3 linked regions of the Lonchura striata genome follow. The protein of the gene in region 2 interacts with the protein of the main gene of each other region in a pairwise test. Links are inferred from orthologs where the notes say so. Each region holds a gene or a part of one and is shown on either strand. Other genes may lie near its edges. The genes, in order: MBIP, EPB41L3 and YWHAG.

Region 1 (7,104 bases), on a different chromosome or scaffold from region 2:
AAGAATGTCTCATCACTCCACAGGCAAAGCTGTGGATGATAAACTGTCCCACGTTAGTTTCAAATCCCAGCATTAACACAATTTTGTAAAGAATTATAAGCCTGAACCTTCCTTCTTTAGTCAAAGATCAGCCTTGATAAATTCAGGGTCAGTTCCCAAATTACATAGCAAAGGAGACAGTCTGACTAGATATATAATGTATTTTAGATAATTTTCACAAATGGTTATCCCTGTTTAGTACTTAAGCTAAGTACACAGGATGTAGGAGAAGTAATGTTCTAGGATATACTAATCTTGAAGAAGTTTCAAAAGCAAGAATGTATTTAGAACATAGCAGGAATAAAATTTAATTTAGGAATTAAGCCATTGTGCATGTGATCATCTGAAGCATGTATTTCTGCCTGAAGTTTCTAGAGTAATATCTCCTGTATGCTATATTATAGTCTACTGATAGGGTAAAAAAGGGGCAGATTAAAGTCATCCAAATGAAACAAAATAGAAGTGCTACTGCAATTTCCTAATAAGTCTCCTTTTTAAAAAATAATAATCTGATATGTGCCTTCACAATATCACAATGGACACCTCCTGTCCAGGTGGTTCAAGGCACAAAAAGCAACAGAACTTAGAATCATTTAGAGGACAGTCATATTTTTAATTCAGACACTGCTTTTAAATAAAAATATAAAGCCCTCCTGCATCAACAGAAGTTTCTAGTACCACAGAGTAAGTTCTCAGTCTTTCACATCCTACTACTTATTAGAACTGTGACAAACAGATTTTTAAATTCAATGTTTTGATAACTTCAAAGCCTTTGACTAATTACAAGTCCACAGCCTATTCAATTTACAGGATTATATGTAATTTCAGCTCTTTGAAATTTGTTTTACATAAACACTGGCTATCATTTGAATCTTAAAGAACTTTTCAGGATCAGCTATATTGGTTTTAAGAGCTGTTATTCTCAGATGTCCTGGTCACATACTGCCATTGATTGCTCCATTAAAAAAATCCTGTGCCAGAAATATTCCTGCTTACTGCCCAATTTACTAGCATAAAACCAACTTAAACTACTGTAGTGAATCAAACTGTGACTGCTAACAATTTGGCACATGCTTAGTCATCTCTATAAAAGGGAAATGGGGAATCAGTAGTTTCAGTCAGAAATGCAAGGCAGTTTGCTAGAATCCCTAAGCAGTTAAATCTGTCAGTACTCAAGCACTGGCAGACAAGTGTCAGCAACTGGAAATCAAAAGGACTTTCACAGCTAAGATGGAGCAACCAGATCCTTATCCAACCAGTGCACTGTTGAATGTGACACAGTGAAACGTGTCTGTTGTCAAGGAAAGAAGACACTCCAAACACCAAAGAAGACAATTATACTCTGCACCATAGCTACTGTAACTACTGAGGGGATGTAGCAACTCTAAGCAGTTCTCTCACAATGGTCTGTGCACACACAGTTATTTTTAAAAATCACCAGGGCCTTTCCAATGACATGCTAGTTGTAGAGGCAGCTTTGCAGAAAAAGTAAGCTGCTGAAGTCAAGAGGTAGAATAAGAGTTTTTAATGTAGTTTATAAACAATTCATAAACTTTTGATGAATACCCCAGTTAAAATCTTAGGAAACTTTCCCCTTATTCTCCTTTGTATTTTTCATAAATACAAGAGTTCCAGCTTTTCTCTGATGTGTTCTATTACTGTCATTCATAGTGTTGTCCTCCCACTTAGATAAACTGACAGTCACTAGCTCTTCATTGATCACATTCAGAATTTTCACCAGGAAGGATTATGGGGCCTTTAAACCTCAACAGTTTTCATGCCTTGGTAATCCTATGCGTCAGCTGTGTCTGGACATCACAGTGTTTAGTGCTGTACTCCTGTTCAAAAGCCATAGCAGTTTTTAACCATTTTAGAGAGAGGAAAACTGAGACTCTTAACTAAGTCTCTGAATTACCAAGCCCTTAATTTTTCTTGCCTTTTGTTTGAAAATAGAGACAACTGCTAGCATAGTTGGAGGAGAAAAGCAAGTATAATAAAATTCTATACAGATGAGAAGTGAAACACTCTAAAATATCATTTCAGATCAGCCAGCAGCTACTCCTAAACTGCCTCTGCATCTAAGAGACCAATTCTTTACCAAACATACATTAAGTTACACTAGCTCCTGCATATATTGTTCATCATCTGGCCCCAAACTTTCAAACTGCTAACTCTTGAAGTAAGAGTGTACTTCTGTCTTCACAGAACTACATAAATGTTTCCACAGTGGAAAATTAATGTATAAATTGTTTATACCAATAAAAATGTTATTACTAAAACCTTCTCCTGACAAGGGCGGGCCTTCCACTACTACTGTAACATTTGTTTCACAACTCACAGACATTACTAAACATAAAGTAGGTGTTTCAATTTAAGTGCCAAAGAGCAGAGCACCTTTAAAACTTCTGACCCTTAGAGGCACTGCGTGTTTCATAGCATGCCATTACCAAGGCAGGGCTAACTTTAAGCTCCTGAAAATTTATTTTGATTTAATGTACTGCAAGCTTTCAGCAGCTTTTCAACTCTAAGCAATTAATTAATAAGATACAGCAATTAAGCAAATTGCACTTTCCCACGGAAGCTATCATCCGTCAAACTACAAAGCGGCGCGCGAGGTCCCGTCACTGCGAGGCCAAGGCACGGTCCCGGCTGCGGGAGAGACGCAGCGGGAGCAGCAGCCACGCACCGGGGGCTGCCCCGGCCGCAGGGAGCGGGGGAGGCAGCCGGCACCGCCGCCCAGCCCCGGCAGAAACCAGGCGGGCACTCCCGGAAGAGGCAGCTGCCTTATCTGCCCCGCAGGCCGGGGGGAAGCAGGAGCCAGCCCTGCTCGCGCCCCAAAGCCAAGTGTTGTGAGGCGGGCGCGGCGCCCAGCCCAGCTCCGCCCAGGACCTCTCCCTCCGCCCGCCCCGCACTCACCTGCCCCGCCAGCCCGGCCAGACAGCGCAGGGCGCTGCTCGCTACCTCGGAGGCCGCAGGGTCCGCCTCCGGAGCGCGGGCGCCGGGCGGGAGCGGGCCGGGCACCGCCACCGCCGCCGCCATGACGCAGGGCCGGGCCGCGCCGTCGCCCCGCGATGACGAAGGCCTGGCGCTGGCCCCGCCCCGCGCGCTGATGGACAGGCGCGGCAGCCAATGGCGGCGCTCGGGCCGCTGTGGGGGCGCGCTGCCGGGAGGCGCAGCGCGGGCTCCTTCGGGGGAGCGGCCCGCGGGGCTGCCTTTCATCGCGCTGCTGCCCCTGTTTCTGCTGGGCCTGGCTGGCTGCCCCTCACTTTTGTGCGTTCATGCGTTTTGTTCAAAGCCTTGACTCCTCTGGCTGCAGCAAGGTTGTTTTTAAATCAGACTACGAGTTTTGTGAGAGTACTCTTGATTTTGGGGGTCGGAAAATTCTATTCCCTGTAAGACATTTTACTTTTAAATTTCTTCCCTAAGAAATTTAGTAGAAATTCCTAAGAAATATAAGTAGAAATGCATTCAAAGGTTTCCTACCCGATGTTTGTTTTGATACCTATTTTTGATCTGTGACTTCTTTCTGTTCCCTGACTATATTTTTTATTCAATTGACAAATAGTGAGTGCAGTAGTATATACAAATGTTAAAACATTGTTAAATAAAAATATTAGAAAGGAAGATGAATTTATTTGACTGATGTTTTGAGGGTTCTTTTTCAGCTAAGACATACCTTAATGTAGTGAAAATAAATGCTACTAAACAAGGCTTTCAGCACCAGCAACCCACAACATTTGATGGGACTCAAGCAGAGAAAGCTCTGCTCAAGTTCCAGAGAAAAATTAGTTCTGAAGAGGACTTCAGTGTTTAATGATTACAAACATATGCATTGATGTCTGCATTTTGCAAGAATATCTTATCTAGGCTGAACTAGATGGCATTTGCTTGCGTTGATGAGGACCAATGTTTGGATTCAGAAATACGGCAGAATGTATTTGTGATTTAGAAGCTCTGAAACATAGAAATGTATTTAATTCCTGAAAATACAGTTTTTGTCAGATAGTATTTTGAACACGTGCACAGAATATGGTAGTAAGTTAAGAACGTTTGTGGAATTCTGTTTTGCACTTCTGTGCAACAGTAGTAATTCCAGCTTACGATCAAGGGCTGCTTCAGCTAACCTTGACTCTTGCAGTTTTTGTCTCTGGACACGTAGCTGGAGCAACCCTGCACTATGTAATAATGTCATTTGGATCAAATAATGAAGAATTCAAGAATAAAGGAAAATACACTGCCCTTTCCCCTTCCCCTCCAGTGCTAAAACACTGAATTAATACATAAGTGATCTGCTGGCCAGAGCAGAATTATGGATCACAGATGTAACAACCTGGCATCGGTGTCAGAGAAGGCAGTTTATCCTGAATGAATTCCCAATGACCTGATAAGACAGAACAGGTCCAGGCATTTGAACCAATTCTTTACTTCAATTGATGAGTGCTCAGCTACCTGATAGATTCCAGCTTTCCTAGAGTGATGGAGCAGATGTATCCTACTTTATCAATGGGTACGTGCAGCCTTCCTAACTGAGAGATCTAAGATCTTTCCTTTCCTTTTGAGCATGTTATCTTTACCTGTAGCCAGAGGTTGTTTTGGGGTAAAAAACATTTCAAATGAAAAATAAATAGGTAAGCATATAAATATCAGAAAGATACATGGAAATATAAGGGAGATTTAATGAATGTGGAGGATTTCAAAGACAGTGGGAGTCTCCTTGTAATGAGCACCATTATTCTGTGCTCGTTACAAGGAGAGTAGGCAAAAGTAGTCAGTAGAGCTGTTGATGCCCACCTTTTATTTACTAAGCAGAAACTGGATCTTGGGTGCCTTCCTGCTGTTTGCAAATGTCTCCTCTTAGAGAAAGAGTAATGATTCCCATGGGGAAAGACTTTCTTCCTACTTGCTCTGTCTCAGAAGACCTTGATCTGAGTTGCAGCTGCTAGTTGAATAAATTTGGTATTATCTAATGTTTCACAGATTAAATTAGGCAATGCATTAAACAAACAGCTAAGGCAAAAATGTCAAACCTTCGTATCTAATGGAAGAGACAGACCAGAACAGAATGGTTCCAGAAGATGATTATATACTCACTGGATGTAGTGCACAGTAAAAATTAATTCACTTGTAATTGCCTCTGGAAGTAAAGCTAGCCACAGTAAATCCAGGCCTCCATAAAGACAGAGGAAATTACATGGCATGTTCACTAAAGCTGGTGAAGCAATAAAATATTGGAAGCTCTCATTGCTGGAAAGATACTGGTAATTTGGAATAAATTTATAGAAAACTGGCAAGAAGTAGATTGCCAGAGATAGAGATACTTGTTTAGAAAGAGGAATCAGAAGATTTAAATATGTCTAACTTGGCAGTAATGTCCAGATATTTTAATAATATGACAAACAAGGGAGGGAGTAATCTGGAGTTGCTTTCAACACTCAGGGATAGAGCTGTCATGATAATATTAAATCTTTTGCAGCTTTGATCCCTGAATGGATCATTGAGGTATATAAAAGCCTCTCCCACTGAAAACACCTTGAAAAATATAAGCACAAATCCACTAAGTTCTTAAATATCAAATATTGTGGTTGGAGTAAAATTATTTTGAACTAGAAAACTATTTTCTTTTGGTTTTGGACTATTGCTTCTTTTTATTTTGTTTGTAAAATGATAAACATTCACCTCTTTCGAAGTCTAGGTGCCTTTAAGCTATTTAAAATCACAGTAAACCTTAGTAAATTGACACAAGTTCTCTCCATTGGTCATTACTGTCATAACTCTTTCTTCTCCTGAATATTACAGTACACAATTTCTGAACTCTTTAATTTTGTCTCTAATACCCAAAGAAAGGTGAGTCTTGGCAGAATGTACCAGTCACTGAGGTTTGTTGTGCCAAAGAGTGAAGTGCTGAGCTAAGGAGACTGTGTAACATATAAGCAGATTTTTTCTCCTGAATTGAAAAGCTCATGCTGTGTAATTCTGCTTATGTCAGCTGTAGCACAGAGAAAGGCAAAAGAGGCAATGCTTCAGAAAAAAAAAATAACAAACAAAACAACAACAACAAAACAAAACAAAACAAAACAAAAAACCCCAACCAACCAAAAAAACCTGAAATAATTTGGAGCTTCAAAGATAAAAACAATACTGTGAATTCTGTCCAAAGCCCCAGGAAAATAGTTCAGTTTGACACCTTGCTGTAATTGTAGTTTTTCCTAATATTCAGATTATCAGTGCTGGGCTAATTTAACACAGTTATAAAAACGAAATTGATAGTAACATATTCATTAAATCGATAAATAGGGTTAAAATAGGAAATTACCAAGTCCCTCCAAAATAAAAGCTTTTATTTTTTTTTTTCCAAGCATTAATTTCAGAATTAAGAGCACTTCACTTCTGTTGCTTCCCAAGTACCCAGGAAAAGGCATCACCCCAACAAAGTTTATGGATACTGTTTCAACAAGATACTTAAGCTAGTGCCTAATTTTAAGCACTAGCCTAGCTGGAGAAAACCTCAGCCTGCATCCCTAAAATGTAGTCATGTGCTTATTAAGTTCATCAAATAAGGCTCTGAATTGCAAATCTGGCTCTCCAATAGGAGCTGCATTCCTTCAAAGCAAATGTCTCTGCTGACCTTTTGGTGTTCCTTTCACTTTACCAAAGTTTAGAAAGCCCTGTTCACACAGGATTGGAATGGGATTTGTACAAAATGTCTTGGCGGAAATACAACCCTGATGTATTTGCTGTTAGAGAAAAAAGGGAAACCAACAAACCTATAAGTATCTTACAGTTATGACTTGCAGTAATTTGATCATTCCTAACATTTGTGATGCTGTTGCCTGCACTCTGTTTAGTGTCCTTATCCTGGCATGCACATGTACCTATGACCCTTCCTTTCAGAATTTTTTTATCCTTGTTATGTTCTAATACTGCTTCATGCTCTTCCTTACTTTGGTCTTTATTTTCATTGTTGCTGTTTAGTAATTTTACAACATATTTAAATTTTATATACCTGCCTCCCTTCTTTCTTGCTGCCATCTGCAAATATGATTAGCACTCTGCACAAAATCCTTC
Region 2 (7,944 bases):
AGCTGTGAGATCCAGCTCAGGGCTTTGTTCAGTCAGGTCCTGAAAACTCCCAGTTGGAGACTGCACAGCCTCACCAGACAACCTGTGTCCTTATCCAACTGTCTGTCCTCAGTGAAAACACTTTATCCTTGTAACCAGTGTGAACTTCTCTCATTTCAGCTGGTATCCACTGTCTCTTGGCCTTCCACCACTGAGAAGAGCCTGCAATGATGTCACTCTTTCAGTGAAAAGAAAGCACTCTTTATACTTTTAGCTCTGCTATTTATCTGTTTATGCAAAGTACACTTTGCTCTGTGATTTAGATTGCTGTTTCAGATTTTAACTTTGCTAACAGCATTTGCCAAAAATTCAAATATAACCAAATCAGAGTGAAAGTGAAAAACAAATCTAAGAATAAAACTTGGGTGGAAAACTCACCCATGTGATCACATCAAACTTTCCCTGATGTGCCATGGTGATGGCAGCACTTCAGCACTCAGTACTGCATTTCCAGACATGGAAGAAGCATCTCTTTATATAGGTGCAACATGAGAGCCAATTATTCATGCATATTACAAAATAGGCCAAAAAAGCAAGATACATGCTGGAGCAAAGCTATGAGGAATGCAGTCTGCTAGTTTTCAGACTCAAAGAGTTTTGAGCAGTGTGTCCATCACAGGAAATATGCATTGCTTCCTGGCCCCAGAAGCTATTGCTCTCTCAGGCTCCTTAAGGCTCCTTAGCACATCAAAGGACAGCAATCCAAAGCAGCAGTCGCCTTACAGACCTTACTGCTACTCATCACCAAATCACCATGTACAGTCATGCAGAAGGCTTCTTAACAGCACTCTTAAGACATGCAGCTGAAGAATAAAAGACATAACCAGAACTAAGAGTGAAGGTAAATGCAGTAGTGCAACAAATGTTCATCCTGCCTAAAAGGTCACGTGATATGTGGTTAATGCCATTATCCTCCTCCAGCACTCTGGAAATCGCCCTGAGACAAGAGCTTCCCAGCATAAGCTATGGATCAATAAAAAGGATTAAGCAACAATACTTCAGAAATACTTGAAAGTAAACTATCGGGCTTTATCTCAAATTTTCTCTAAATCAGTCCCTGATAAGAAATTCTTAAGTTTGATGTCCATCTTTTCGTCTTAGGCTCTTTGCAACAGCGCAAGAATGCAGGTGATGCAGATTGTGCACACTCAAGAAACTGAAAAAGGAGAGGGAAAAAGAGCCAATGTCAACCTTCCTCCCTCCCCCCAGAAGAGGTGTGTACCAGCTAAAGTCAGCCACAATCTGTCAGCAAGTAGCCAGTGCCAGCCCTACACTCACTCCCACGCCTTACCCAGGACAGGGCCATCACCACACCAGGAACACTCACCTCATTCTGAGATAGGACACACAGCCAACACTGCTCCCAAATCACATTTGTCTTGTCCCTCAAAACTTAAGGCTGTGCATAAGCAAGGTTGTCACCACACAGTGAGAGGTGAAGCAAGTTGTTTTCCCTAATTAAACCTATTAGTAGCAACAAGTCACTTCTGCTAGGTCTAAATAGCTCAGAGATAAATCCCAAGACTGCTAATCTGCCAACCTCCCCTCAGTGCTCAGAGGCAGCTTCTTTACTCCTACAGACAACACTGGGTAAATACTACCTCCTCCAACCATGCTCCTGGAGCAGATCTCCAGGTTGATACATTCAAAGCAAATGTTTTCCCTGAAGCAGTCCAGCCACCTTTATTAAAAGCCCAAAGGGCCAAAATCTCCTCCTCAGATAGCAACAGCAGATACCCCCAGAAGAATATTCTGCAGGTCTGGCATCTGCACACAAGGAAAGAGTGTGACCCTGACAGAGCTCTGCGCTTTTTTTCATTTTATAAAAAGAAACCTCCCCAGAGACTACTTGTGATGGAAGACCTTTTTGTAGAAAATTCTTTTACAATATTTAATACAAACATGTTATCAACACATCATCCCTTAAAAGTTCACACCACAGGCAACACCAGTACTAGGAACAGTAAGGACAGTGACACAGTGCTTTTCTAAAAAGCCATCCAATGAATCTTCTGTCTGAACTGTTTGCAGAATCAACTGAATAAGTCAGAAAAGAAAAATTAAAATGTTCTAAGCTGTTGCTTCACAGCATGTCTTACAGAAAAGTAATTTAAAAGTTATTACAAAGACAATAACACTCAATCCCATAACATGACACTATTTCAAATTAATCCAAAGTATGTTAATTCCTTCATCTGTGCCAGTGATAAAACAGAATAAGGAAAAAAAAAAAGCCACTTCATCAAAAATAATTTGAAATTTAGTAAGCTTTGCCTGTTGCATTGACAAAACCAACACTGCAAAAACAGCCTTAATTTTCATCAAGCACAGCTTCCAATACATAACATTCTCCTCTTTCTCCCAAGCAAGCAGAAGTGATACTCATTTTGCACACTCACCATAATTATCCATATTCCAGGAGGCAGCCGTTCATCCAGTTTGTGAAATCCATGGTTTCAGCAAGTCATAGCCATCAGCAGGAAAATGAAGAGAAAAAGAAGAAAAAAAAACCTCTTAAGATTCAATGAACAACACAACACTACTGCTTTCTGTTAAGTCTGCATTACAAGACAGTTTCAGGTAACTCATTAAATGGACTGAACATAAACAACCCTCCACTCTCCAATTTATTCTAGAAAGAAATAAAAGACCCTCACAACATCCATGTTAATAAAAGAACAATAATTACAATCTAATAAAGATCTGTCAAGGCTGACCTCAGAAGGAACATTTTGTGAGGGGAGAAAAATGTCTTTTTAAGAAAAAAAACTTTCTACTGTACTTCCCCCATCAGGCAGTAACAGGTGTGCAGTATCACAAATAGTAAAAGGTATATTACTTTCTCTTATACTGCTGACATTTCAAAATCCTTGATGAGGAGATGTAACATTTGCAAGGAAGTAAGGCAAAGCCACCACAGCAACTGCTCAGTTTCAGAATCCTCAGTCATGGATGGGGGATTGGTAATTTATTCTTTGCAATTAAGGGAACCTGCAGCCTACCCCACAGCTGAGTATCTATGCACTATTACACATCTGCAAATCATCAAGAACACCCAAGCTGAAACAACTTTTTTTTTTCAATTTGGACTTTGAACAGTGTCTGAGTGACCAAACTCAGTGTGTGTCACTTCTCTCCTACTAATAAAAACCCAAGAAAGAATTTTACAGCTTTCCCAGGCTCAGCATTGATTTCTTTTGGCAACTGTTCCAAAACACTCGACCAATTTAGCATTTGGGGCTTTTTTGCTTTTCTGTTTGGTTGGGGTTTTTTTCATTATTATTCCTTTGGAGACAAAATGCTTTAAAGAGATAGCTACAAAATGCCAATTGCTATGGGATAACCTAAACAAACTGCATGTGTGTATGTAAGGGCAGACAAAGGCATACTCTTCTTTTGACTAGAGAAATCAACTGCATGTGCAAGTTCAGGAAGTGCACAAGGTCCTGAGCACAGATGAGCAGGCGAGGAGAGTGCTAAAGCCTGAGGTGGAAGGAAAGGAGGCAGTGAAGGAAATGCTGTCATCATCTCCCAGCAGCTCTGTGACCATCAGATTGATCACCAGGCCAAGGCTGACAAGATGTCAAAAAGCCAAAGGCCATGGCAAAGTCCCTTCCAACAGATTGGGACATATCTTCTCAGTTCACATGTTTCAATCATACAAATTCTCCAAACCAACTGTTCTCAGGAACATCTTCACAACTCAATGCTCTTTTTCTGGGTACCAGTAAAGGGACTTTCATTTTCACCTCCATAAATCTCAAAGCAACTCAGGAGGGCGGGGATGTGGTTTCTATTTGATCTCTGCAGAAACTATGCCATATGAAGGCAAATTTATCTCTTAGTGTCAAAAAAGAAAATGAAACTGGCACAAGCAACTAATTGGCAGCTCCCCTACTTCGATGGATAATGGCTGATGAGTTACCTCCTCCTCAGCCTTCACGGCCCATTAATAAGACAGCACGAAATGCTGCAGAAAAAGGGAGATGATTGCTCACATATTTACCACTTTGCTAGCAAACAACTTTTTGTTGTTGTTGTTGTTGCTGTTTTTGTAGGAGTGCTTTTACAGTAGGAGACATTCCAGTGCCTTCTTGTGAAGAATATTGGAGAGGAAAGGGAAAAGAGATTGCAAAAGATTTGCCTTCATTTCTGATTTATCTTGTCAGTCTTGTGTACCCCAGTCCTTCCCCAGAGCTGCAACCATGCACCATTACTGTCAGTGTGACTGTAGTTACAGACTGCCCTCAAGATATTACCTGTCTTTTACCTCTGCAAGGGAAGCTGAGATTACTGGAGAACATTTTTACTGGAGCAGACACGACTTCAGGGTACTCCCAAGGACTGTAAAGGCCATTGAGATACCTGACTGGACACAGGCCTTCATATTAAGGAAAGTGAGATTTTGATGGTGGCATGGAGCAAGCTTAAAATTAAGAAATTTATCAGGATATGAGAGATCACATGAAAGCAGATGTTGAGTAGGTGGGAATGGCGGGAAACATGGTGTGCAAAAACACGAGGAAGGAACAAAACAAAAATGTATGGATGACTCAGAGCTGGCAGAATTCATGCAGGAGAGCTGCTGAACTGGTTTATTTAGAATGGGGAGGGGACAGGAGAGCAGCATGCCCATTGACAATACTGCAGATACACTTCTGAGACAAAACAGGACGTGGTTGTTGAAGTTTGACATGTTATAAGGGGCAGAGTTCCATTATCAGCTCAGAAGGTTTGAGGGGAGAAAAAAGGTCACAATATGCCATAATGGGAGGGATGAATGAATGAGATGCAAATTGCCTTGAGAATTGCAGCAGCATCCACTGCCTACACCACATGCCAGTTGCTTGGGTCAGGGGGAGGAGAGATACACAAGAGCAAGACCACAGGGACATTCTGCATTTCCCGTGTTCCTCTTCACATACTGTTTTTGCATGACACTGGTTATGAAACTGAAAACGTTGGTTCAGCTTCAGGCAGCAATTTTAGGGTCAATTGCTTCTTCACCAGACACTGAAATCACAATTTGTCAAGCATCAAATTAACTGTAAACGTTTTAGGGGACAGTGAACTTGAGTTATGCATTATTATTGGGTCCCCTTCCTCAAAAATCTATCTTGCAATCCCTCTTGAAATGGCAGGTGCCTTTTTCTTTTTGCTAGAATCACACTTGAAGATGAACTCTGCAATTACACTACTTGCTTTTTGCTCCATCAACTCATTCCTGACTGTTATGCACTCTTGAAAGTACAGATCTCAAGTCATGGAATACGCTTTCAAAACCATGTGAAGCGTTTTATCAATTTATCACAAGAGTACGTCAATATAGGTTTTCCAGCTGAAAGCATTTAAAAGTTTCCTGAAAACTTTTATAGCTCAGCTTGGACCCACTCCTAATCCACAGACAGGGTAAAAGACTCATCTGGCACCAGCACACCACAAAATAAGTAAGCAATAAAGCCTTAATGAGGTTAGCTGTCCAGCAAAGCCCCAATACCCAGGGCTGCACATCTTTCCCTAATACTGTCAGTACAACACAGAACAACTACAAGCCTTGGTGCTGCAACAGATATCACTCAGTATTCAGCTGTATCAAACTGGTGTTTAAACATCATTCCAGCCAATGCCCCAGTAGGCTAGGAGAGGTGGAAGCTAGTGGAAACTGGAAAATCATTGCTGGGAATGATGTCAGATTTGGATTTATTGTGTAGCAATTCTAGGTCAGAATCAAACTTTTATATTTTACTCTTCCATGCAAATGTTAGAGAGTGAATATGAAAAATGTATTCTTTAAAATGGAGGGGAAAAAAAAGTCCATCAATGTTCTGCAAGTCCTATAGGTCTGCAGTTAATTTAAATGAGGAGTGATATTTCATATCCAGGTGGGATGATCATAAATCTTTTGGACATATGTGAGTTAAGATGAAGAAAAATATAAAATCGGCAATGCTGTGAAGATTTTACATTGAAGTGGTACATGGACAAAGTTGAATTTGGTTTGTTAGGCCTCCATTTCAGTTCTATCTCCCCAGCCTGGTGTTTGACCATTGAGGTGCTTGTGAAAGCTTACCACACCATGAGCCATGAGCTATACAGCTGAAAATTCTCGCTTGCCTTCAATAAAACAAAGGCAGAATTAAATGTCAGCAGTATCAAAACCTCCCCTTTACCCCTGAAATTCAAAGCCCAAGTCCCGTTTGAGTGTCACCAAACACAAGCTGTGCTAAGTCCTCAGAAGGTGAGGAACTTAGGTTTGTCTTGGGAAGGTTTCAGAGTTTCACCCAAGAACATGTCTGGGAAAAGCTGTACACCTGCATGCAAATAAATACATGCATAAACATAGCGTATGTACATAAACACAAATGCATCCTGCATATGTATAAACGGTGTATAATTGATATAAAGTGGCTCAGCACCCAGCAGGTGGCACTCACACCCTGAGCTCCCGAGGCCGGCACTCCGCGCTGCTCTACGAGAGGCACCATCTCACCGAGAGGTGAAAGCACCATGGGCACGCACCCGCCACCCTTTTGCAAGGCCTGATGCAAGGTAAAGTCCAGCATCTGGGCCGAAATCCCATTTAGCTTACTGGCCAGGCACCCCTTCCATTAATTCCCCCAACAGCTGCAAGGCTCCCCCCTTGACTGCTGCTGATTCTCAAGTGTTCTTGCAGCCTTTCCAGAGGAGCAGTATTCTGGGGACTGAAAGGGTCCTGGAATATTTTCCATATAGAAGCATCACATTATGATATCAAGAACAATACAACTAAATGTAAAGCTTCCTTCAGACTTCATCACTTCTTTTCTCCATTTGACACACCCAGCTAGCTTTCAATTAATCCCACTAATAATTTAGGCTTTTGAAGATCTTATGAATGAACAAATCAGAACTGGAAGAGGAAATACTGTTTTTCTTTGATTAAAATTAAAGACTTGTTTTCACCCTAGACTTAAGTATCACAATCATATGTACATTCTTAATACACCTCCTAAAGCTGAGTGGTGCTTCAACTTCAGCTGAGTGGGTTTGTTTTTAAAAAAATATTTTCCTTTCCAATTCAATATTCCACCCATCTCCCTTCCTTCTTTTAAAAAAACAATAAAATCAGTTTAGAAGCATCCATTTGAAAACATCAGCTCTTTGTGGAGCAGTGCTGTTCCCTGTTAAGAGAATGCTTCGTGTCAGATTGAAAGATACCTTTCCAAGGTCATTTCATGTTCCAATGGGTTTGTTATGAAGTTGTGGAATGGCAGATAAGGTTGCATGAGATAGTAAAGTGCCTTCCTAAGCTAGTTCTGGGCAGTAATGTGCAACCAATATTTGAGCAAGGGACTTCAAGAAACTTCATATGCTGAAATAAATGCTGCTGCAGGAAGGACAGAAGTAGTGCCGAGATAGTGATAATCTGTTTCCCAATTAAAAAACAACAAAATAATAAAAGGCCATTTTCTTGACAAGTTTGCACAAACTGCACACATTTATGGCACTTGGCAAAGGTTGAGTGCTTCTAGGAACTTTAGGGGGTATCTCTTCAGCAAGTTAAAATACCCAACTCTTCAGCAAGTTAAAATACCCAACCCTGTGTAATAATGAGGATTTGATGCTAAAAACTGCTCAATTCAGCATCAATAGTAATGCCTTCAAATTGCCAGAACAAGAATACAAGAGTATTAAGTACCAGGACTGATAGTTTGCAAGGTTAAAAAAGGGAGGGGAAAGAAAAAAAGGTGCATATCTAATAACAGTTTTTTGAAAGTCTTGTAGTTACAAGTGTGAGGAATGATGATCCAGTATTTTTAGACTGCTTCTAACAGATCCCAAAAATGGAGGAAACCATATAACAGCATCCTCTTAGCAAGCTTTTAATACTGCCTGAGCCTATCCCAAACTCTGAAAGAAGGTAAG
Region 3 (7,677 bases), on a different chromosome or scaffold from region 2:
ATCACCAGCACTGTGGGAAGTGAAACTCCAGCAAGCTAGCCCAAGGCCAATGTCTGACCACACTGGGGACCAGCAGAGAGCTTTCCTGTCCCCCAACACCTGACAGGGTTGATGGTACCCCCAGACAGCACTGAGGTGACACGGGACATGATCAAGGTCATGAAGACATGTCCTGGATCGATGGGCCCAGCCCTGCACCCTTCCTGGGTGTGGCACCACCTTCTGCTCCCTCTGGTAGGTGAGGGGACCATCTGCTGTGTTTTCAGAGACCCCTCAGTAAACCTGCCCCTTTTGGGGGCTGAAGGAGCAATCCTGCTCCTGCAGCAGCAACACAACTGCAGGTAGAGGCACTGGCAGCTAGCACTTGCAAGCAAGGAGGTAGCAGTTATTATATATAAATAATAATTTTGAGAAACTACTGCGATCCCAGACATCACTAGATGAATCAGCAGACAGCAAGAACCCCAGCACACCATTTTCTTTTTAAACCACTAACACAGCCATTCAGCACAGGTTCCCAAGCAGACAGGGCTGAGGCTGAACAACCCACCCCATGCGAGGTGGCCACCAAAACGCAAGGGTGAGATGAAGCTGCAGGAAAACGAGCCTCTTTTATGGCCATCATTGCCAGGACGGGTGTGAGAGGAGAACCAGCCAGCATTTCTCAGCAGGGTGCTAGGCAGGGCTAGGTTTGGAGGGCAGGATGGCTCTGCATCACCTTCGCTAGGCGCAGCCCGCATGCTCTCTGCTACCGCCTGGGTGCATTGCAGCTTGGACCATGGCATATGACATCACTAGGCGTTGCTACGGAAATGAGTGCGAGGTCATCAGCCTCCCGCACAACCGGGGCTGGGGGCTGGGCAGCGCACGGGGACGGGGATAACCGGCTGTGACACGGCTGTGACACGGCCGTGGCCGCCGGACCGGCCGTGCCGGAGCTGGGTGCAGAAAGGAAGAACAAAGCTCTGCCTTTTGTTTGCTGGTGAAGGGAGGCGGCAGCGCTCCCGCTGGGGATCGTTTCCTTACGGCCAAACTACCCGGCAGCTGATAAGAGGCGTTAGCCCGGGTTACTGTTTCACCAGGGCCCGTAAGGAAAAATCACACATAGGAGCTCTTAACAGCACCTCGGGTCCGAGCACCCAGCCCGGGGAAAGCAGGCTAAGAGAAATTCACAGTGCAACACCGCTCTGAGTCCCGGGCATATCCCTGCTGGCTTTGTCACGGCGGCTGTATTATCCGTAGGAAATGAGCTGTAGGATCTGCTCACACAGCAGGCTTTGCTTTAAAATGAATAGACGCCGCTATCAGAAAATGGTATAAAAGCCATAGTGCAGCAGAGGGACAGCCCGGCTGGTTTAATGTGATAATATCTCGTCCCGATTATCCGTATTTCATTCCTTGATAAGACATCTCCTCCCTCCCCGGGCTCGGGCTGTGACAGTTTTGTCTGTTTGATAAATGCAAGGTTATTGACAAAATGGTGCAATATGGGCAAACAGAGCTGCACCCACGGCAGACTGCGACATTCCCAGATCGGCATTCACTTTTCATCAGCCGGGGAGGACACCCCAGCTCCCAGCAAAGGTTCAGACCTGACTAAGAAGACAAACATAAAGAACAGTTTTCCCCTTTAAAGCACCCCCTCCCTCCCTCCACCCAGTCTAGCCTCTCTGCAATATGACAAATGCAGAATCTTCTGGAATGACTTGATCCTGCCTCCCACGATTGCTTTGTTTGCAAGATCAGATCAGAGATATGTTTTTTTTCCCCTTCTTATATTGTCAAAATGTCAGTATTGAAGGGGAGCGTTCAGTGTCACAAATCAGATCAGCCTGCTATATGCAGAGTCTTTATTTTAAGAGCGTGAAATGAATACAACATGACTCAATTCATAAATCTCCAACCAAGAGCAGTAAAAATAAGAGCTTTGACAGTGAAAGGGCTCCCGATCTTTGGGGTCAGGGGCACACATCAGCCCCGGCGACCACGCGTGGGAAGGGATGCACGGGGAGGTATTTCGGCAGCGGGGAGAGATGTGCACGAACCCCCCCAACACCGGGTCCCCCCCTGCCTCGCCCCACGGGGCCCCGAGCCGGTGTGACCCCCCCCGGCAGCGCCGCACCCGCCTGGCTCCTGTGCCCTGCTGGGGAGGGGAGCATGGGAGGGGGCCTGGGGCGGGGGGAGAGAAGAACTGCGGCTGGAAGGTGATGCGGGGGGCTGCAGGGCTGCGGAGGCAACGTGCCCCACGGCAGAGCAGAGGGTGCGGGGGTGCTCCAGGGCAGGGGGATGCGTGCGGCTGGGTGGGGGCAGCAGGGCAGGGGCTTCAGAGCAGGGGGAGGATGGGGGGGCGGCTCTAGGGCAGTCAGGGGGGTGCGTGCGACTGGGTGGGAGCCCCGGAATGAGGGAGAAGATGCGGGGGGGGGTTTAGGGCAGGAGGGAGCGATGCGTGGGGCTGGACGCGAGCCCCACAGCAGGCGAAAGATGCGGGGAGGGGGCTCCAGGGCAGAGCAGCAGGATGCGTGGGGGCCCCAGAGCAGGGAAAAGGATGCGTGGGGGGCTCTAGGGCAGGGACGGGGGTCGGGAGAAAGCAAAGTAAGCCTGGATCGGGGAGAGCGGCGGGAGCGGGAGGCAGCGGGGCTGCCGGAGGGCGAGGGAGCGGGGCCCTCACACCCCCGCGGGCCCCGGCCGAGCCCACCGCCCGCCGCGGGGAACAGGCGGGGAGGGCGGCCCCGGCGGGGCAGGAGGAGGAGGAGGAGGAGGAGAGGGGGTGTGTGTGAGCGTGTGGGGAGCGCCGCGGCCGCGGGACGGGACTCACGTTCTTCATGGCGGCCGCCATGTCGTCGTAGCGCTCGGCTTGCTCGGCCAGCCGGGCCTTCTGCACCAGCTGCTCGCGGTCCACCATCTTCGCGGGGTCCGGGGGGGAGAGGGGCGAGGAGGCTGCGGGCTCCGGGAGGAGGAGGAAGGAGAGGAAGGAGGAGGACGAGGAGGGCGCGGCGGGCTCGGCGCTGCTGCGGCTGAGGCGGCGGCGGCGGCTGCGCCCGGTGCTGTGCGCGCGCCGCGGGCCACCACAACCCCCCTGCGCGCGCCCCGCCCCTCCCCCGCGGCCCCGCCCACACCCGGCCCGCGGGGCACGACGGGAGATGAAGTCCTCAGGTGCGCCAGCGGCGCCGGGTTCATGCGGCCCGGCCTCGCCCTTCGGGACTACATCTCCCGTCGTGCCCCGCGCCAAGGCACCGCCCCCTCGGCCCCCCTAGGCCCCGCCTGTGCTGATTCACCGGAGCCCGGCCCGGGTGGGCCGCGGAGGGCGCGGCTCGCGCCGGGAGCGCGGGGGGGCCCGCGGGAGGCACCGGGCGGGCCTGGGCACCGAACCCTGGCACCGGGCGGGCTTGAGTACCGAGCGGGGCCTGGGCACCGAACCCTGGCACCGAACCCTGGCACCGGGCGGGCTTGAGTACCGAGCGGGCCTGGGCACCGAACCCTGCACCGGGCGGGCCTGGGTACCGAGTCCTGGCACCGAGCGGGCCTGGGTACCGAACCCTGGCACCGAGCGGGCCGGGGCACCAAGCGGCACCGGGTGGGCCTGGGCACCAAACGGCTCTGGGCGGGGCGGGATCGCACCCTGGGGCTGCGCACAGTCACGGCCCGGTCCCGGGCGGGGACACTCTCCGGGACGCTCTGGCGGCCCGGCACAGCCACAGGCTGGGCTCGCACACACAGAGGACTCGGTCACAGCCCGGGTCCACTCACAGCCGGTGCCCACTCGGAGCCCACGGTCACTCCCAGTGCTCCTCTCAGAGCCTGGAGCCACGCACAGCATAGTCCCACTCATGGCCAGACCCACGAGCGGGCCTGACCCACACACATCCTGGTCATACAGCTCGAACCCACCCACAGCCCAAACCTACTCACAACCAAACCCACCCACTGCCCAAACCCACCCACCACCTAAACCCACTCACAACCAAACCCACTCACTGCCCAAACTCACAACCAAACCCACCCACTGCCCAAACCCACTCACAACCATATCCCACCAAAATCCCTGATCCACTCAAAACCCCGACCCGCTCCTGTCCTGGTCCCGCTCACAGCCCATGCATCCTTCCCCTGTGGAGACCCTGGCAGTGTTGCTGTGCCTGGGGTCTCTGACACTGTGGCATGGTGACAATCTTGGGGTGAGCCCCTGTGCCCTGCTTTCCCCTGCCCCCTTTTCCCCACCATGGCCAGGGTCCCAATCCACAGAGGAGAGGCACTGGAGATCAGCTCTGGGTAGTGGGTAATGACAGCCACCTTGGGCCCACAGTGCACTCACACATGGATAACCCATGGGATGAAAACATGTCTGCTCCATCCATGTGGGGCTCTGCTACATGGGGAGAGCCACTGGGAGTCATAAGACATCCCACTTTCCTAAAACTCTATGGATGAAGTGATGCTGAGAGGAGGCTACAGCACTGGGAGGAATGAAAGGATTTAATGGATCCTGTTCTCCTCAAAAGCCTCTGGATAAAGCAGTGCTGAGACAATGCTGTGGCAGTGGGAAAAAGGAAAGGGGTCTAACAAACAGTGATCCCCATGAAAGCGCTTCACCCTCCTTGGAGAGAGCCAGGCAGTGCTGATGCACAGATGAACACTGTCCTTCACGTGCCACATGTCCCTGGCCCTTCCCAAAGCCACTGTCCCCACACAGGTGCTTTGGGATGTGTGGGAATTAGCTCAGAGGACTCAGCCATCCCACCTGCCAGTCCCTGTGCCCTGTGGTTTCCTTCTGAAACCTCCCACAGGAACCCTGGGTGGCACTGGGATGTGCTGGTGTCCTCAGGGCAGTGTTGTGGCTCTCCAGAGCCAAAGGCCAAGGTCTCACCCACGTGGGTGGGGACAAACTGGTTTGGGAATGCTGCTGGTGGTGAGCAACACCCTTTTGGGGCAAGTTTAATGTGGGTTTTGCACTGCTCTGCAAATAACAGAGAATGGCATCGCCTGGATTTGTGTAGCACAAAATCCTCCTTTGTTTACAGTTTCCGAGAGCAGAAGAAATCCCCCTCTCTGATAAACAGAACCAGAAACACGACCGGATCCTCTCCATTTCCTCCCCAAAAATCAGACGCTGTCTCCTCGCTCGCACCCCCGGCCTCACACCCCGCAGGGCACACGTGGCTCCCGAGTGAGAACAGCCTTTGTGCTTTGTGCCCAGCCTTTGTTTACTGCCCGGCCATCCCCAGGACAGATGCCACAGACAAGGGCAATTTATTCCCCTCCCCCGATAAAGGCTCATTCTTCCTCCCCAGGGGCTCGCTGTCATCTCTGGAGAGCTCCCACAGTGGGGCTCTGGGTTGTTTTCGCCCTAGCGCCAGTTTTGGGAGAGGGTATGTGTAAAAAAATGCAGAGTGCAAGAGAATATTAAAGGAGTTTGGTTCCCAAATTATTTTTTCAGCTATTGCTGCCATTTCTTCTCATTAATCAGGAGATATTTGTGGGGCATCACCTGAACCAAGCACGCTCATGTCTGTGAATGAATGAGAGCAGACTCCTTGCTCATCCCCTTCTGAGTGATCCTACTGCATTTGGGCCAGATATATGCATCCCCTAACTTGGAAAATAAATAATATTATCCCTTGGGTACAATTCCTGGGTTCTCCCGGACAATATTGAACACAAGCCCAGACCTGAAGAAGTACTTTTGCACCTGGAGGATCCCCTGATTTCTCCAAATATATCAACAGTCCTAATAAAAACTGTTGCCTCTCCATACAAACCTTTGGAATTTTATCTAGTATTTTCCATAAATCTGGCACATTCTCAGCCAGCCCAGCTCTGCTGATTTACAGTGACCCTGTTTTTGCCCCAAAACGAGCAAATACTGATTTATTTCTGTCAGAGCACCAGAGCCATAAATACATTTCCCAACGCAGATGATTTCCTTCCCCATCACAGGTCAGAACAGGATATTCATGATGCTGTAAATTTTTCAGAGTAGCAAGCTGGCTGTAATATTTATCTGCAGTGAATCCAGCCCCCTTTTTGAGCTCTGATGTATAAATCAGCACCCCTCACAACACCTAATTCCTCTGCTGCACAGCCTGGGCAGCAGTGGGGTGAAGGTTTGGTGGTGGATGGTCCAAGTTAGAAGGTTCTGGTGGGCAGCACAGGCAGCTGGAGGTGTTACCTGGCTGGACATCACTAAATCCCCTTTTCCCTCCTCTGGTGCCTGCAGACACCCCTCAGTGAGAGGCTGGGGCAGCTGCTGTGCTGGGAAATCACAATGACCCAAAGGATGTGGGTCTGTTCTGCAGATGTCCCAGAAAAACCTAATAACCTCAATTCTGCCTGCGGGATTAAAAATACTTCTCTGCGTTCAAATGTGCCACTTTGTTAATTCCTGTGGCTTGGAAGGAGAGTCTTTCTCTTTGCATTTTCTTGCCTTCCCTGCTACGTCTTGTCAATGCCTTGTGACACTGTGAGGGAAGGCAGGAAATTCTCTGTGACTTGGAGGTTTGCTTGGGTGAGCTGCTGACTGCTCTGAAAATGGATCCAGAAATCCTCACCCCTCATTTCCTATGGGACAGTGACAGTCATGTGCCCCTACCCTTGTGCCTTTTCCCTCCATGTCTGCTTGCTTGGAGCCAGGGGGATGCCCAGGGAAGGGGATGCCCAGGGAAGGGGATGCCCAGCATGGGAGATGTGTGTGCAGGTCTCCCAGCCTGTCCCCACCCCAGAGGTTGTCACCCCAGGTACACCAGCACACCTGCCACACCTCACAGCAGCAGTGACACAAGTGCTTGGTGTCTTCAGCTGGTGGGTGGCAAAGCTGTGAAGGCCAGGGGACACAGGGTGGCATTTCCCAGGCCTGTGTGTGGGCTGGGATGGGTCCCATCCCTGGGATGCTGCCCAGGCTCCTGCACAGCCCCAGGGCTGGGTGTCACCCCAAGTCCCACTCCCAGGCAGCTGCTGCTTGGTTTGCCCTGAGGAAGGGGCTGCCTGCCCAGGGGAGCACTTCTGTGACTCTTGCAGTTATGTTGGTGGAGAAACAAGCTGAGGAAACCTCTGGCTTCGGTGTCTCGTTCCCTGAGGTTGCAGGACAGTGGTGCCCTCATGTCCTCCCTGCCTGACCCCTCACTGGGCCAGACTGCCTGTCCCCAGCACCCCAAAGCTGTGGCACCCTGGCCCCTTTCCCTGAGCCTGGCCAGGAGCAGGACAAGGCTGTCCCTTCCTCCCCTGCACCTCCCCAGCCCCCACGGTGCAGCCTCAGCCCTTCCACCCTGACACAAACCAGAGCTGGGGGGTCACCCCAACCAAGGTAGGACCCCAAAACCAGCAGCTGGGTGAGCTCAGGGCTTCACCAACCCTCCCCAAAACATCCCAGAGCCAGAGGTGCCTCACCTGGGGCAGGAGGCGATGGAGGGGCTGTGGCTGGTGGGGCTGATGACAGACCGAGGGTACTTTGCTGGGAGTGTCCTTCCCCCTGTTTGTGGAGCTGCAGCGCTTTGTACCCAGCCCTGGCCTTTCATCTCAGCCTTTCAAAGCACTTTCCAAGCTCAAATTAATTCTGCTGCAGCAGCTGCCCTCCCGTGCTGTTTAGCATAAGCTCTGTCTCCAAGCAGGGCTGCCCTTACCCCTCAGGGCTTCCAGGAATGATTTTCCCTGGAACCACCTCAAGCTACCGAGATGGGATGGGAG

Evidence for each region.
Region 1: the proteins of EPB41L3 (region 2) and MBIP interact in a two-hybrid assay, tested with the Homo sapiens proteins (2 studies listed by BioGRID). The two-hybrid records come from large-scale screens. The link is inferred for Lonchura striata from reciprocal best matches to the Homo sapiens genes EPB41L3 and MBIP.
Region 3: the proteins of EPB41L3 (region 2) and YWHAG interact in binary tests that used the Homo sapiens proteins (3 or more experiments, as listed by UniProt). The link is inferred for Lonchura striata from reciprocal best matches to the Homo sapiens genes EPB41L3 and YWHAG.

The regions. Positions count from the first base shown.
Region 1 is NC_134608.1:24,890,610-24,897,713, reverse strand, and holds the start of MBIP (MAP3K12-binding inhibitory protein 1), read right to left. Parts: upstream 3,088-7,104; 5' UTR 3,079-3,087; coding exon 2,956-3,078; intron 1-2,955. UniProt on the Homo sapiens protein: Inhibits the MAP3K12 activity to induce the activation of the JNK/SAPK pathway. Component of the ATAC complex, a complex with histone acetyltransferase activity on histones H3 and H4.
Region 2 is NC_134603.1:50,136,040-50,143,983, forward strand, and holds the start of EPB41L3 (band 4.1-like protein 3), read right to left. Parts: upstream 3,011-7,944; 5' UTR 2,439-3,010; intron 1-2,438. UniProt on the Homo sapiens protein: Tumor suppressor that inhibits cell proliferation and promotes apoptosis. Modulates the activity of protein arginine N-methyltransferases, including PRMT3 and PRMT5.
Region 3 is NC_134622.1:5,708,318-5,715,994, reverse strand, and holds the start of YWHAG (14-3-3 protein gamma), read right to left. Parts: upstream 3,058-7,677; 5' UTR 2,903-3,057; coding exon 2,816-2,902; intron 1-2,815. UniProt on the Homo sapiens protein: Adapter protein implicated in the regulation of a large spectrum of both general and specialized signaling pathways. Binds to a large number of partners, usually by recognition of a phosphoserine or phosphothreonine motif.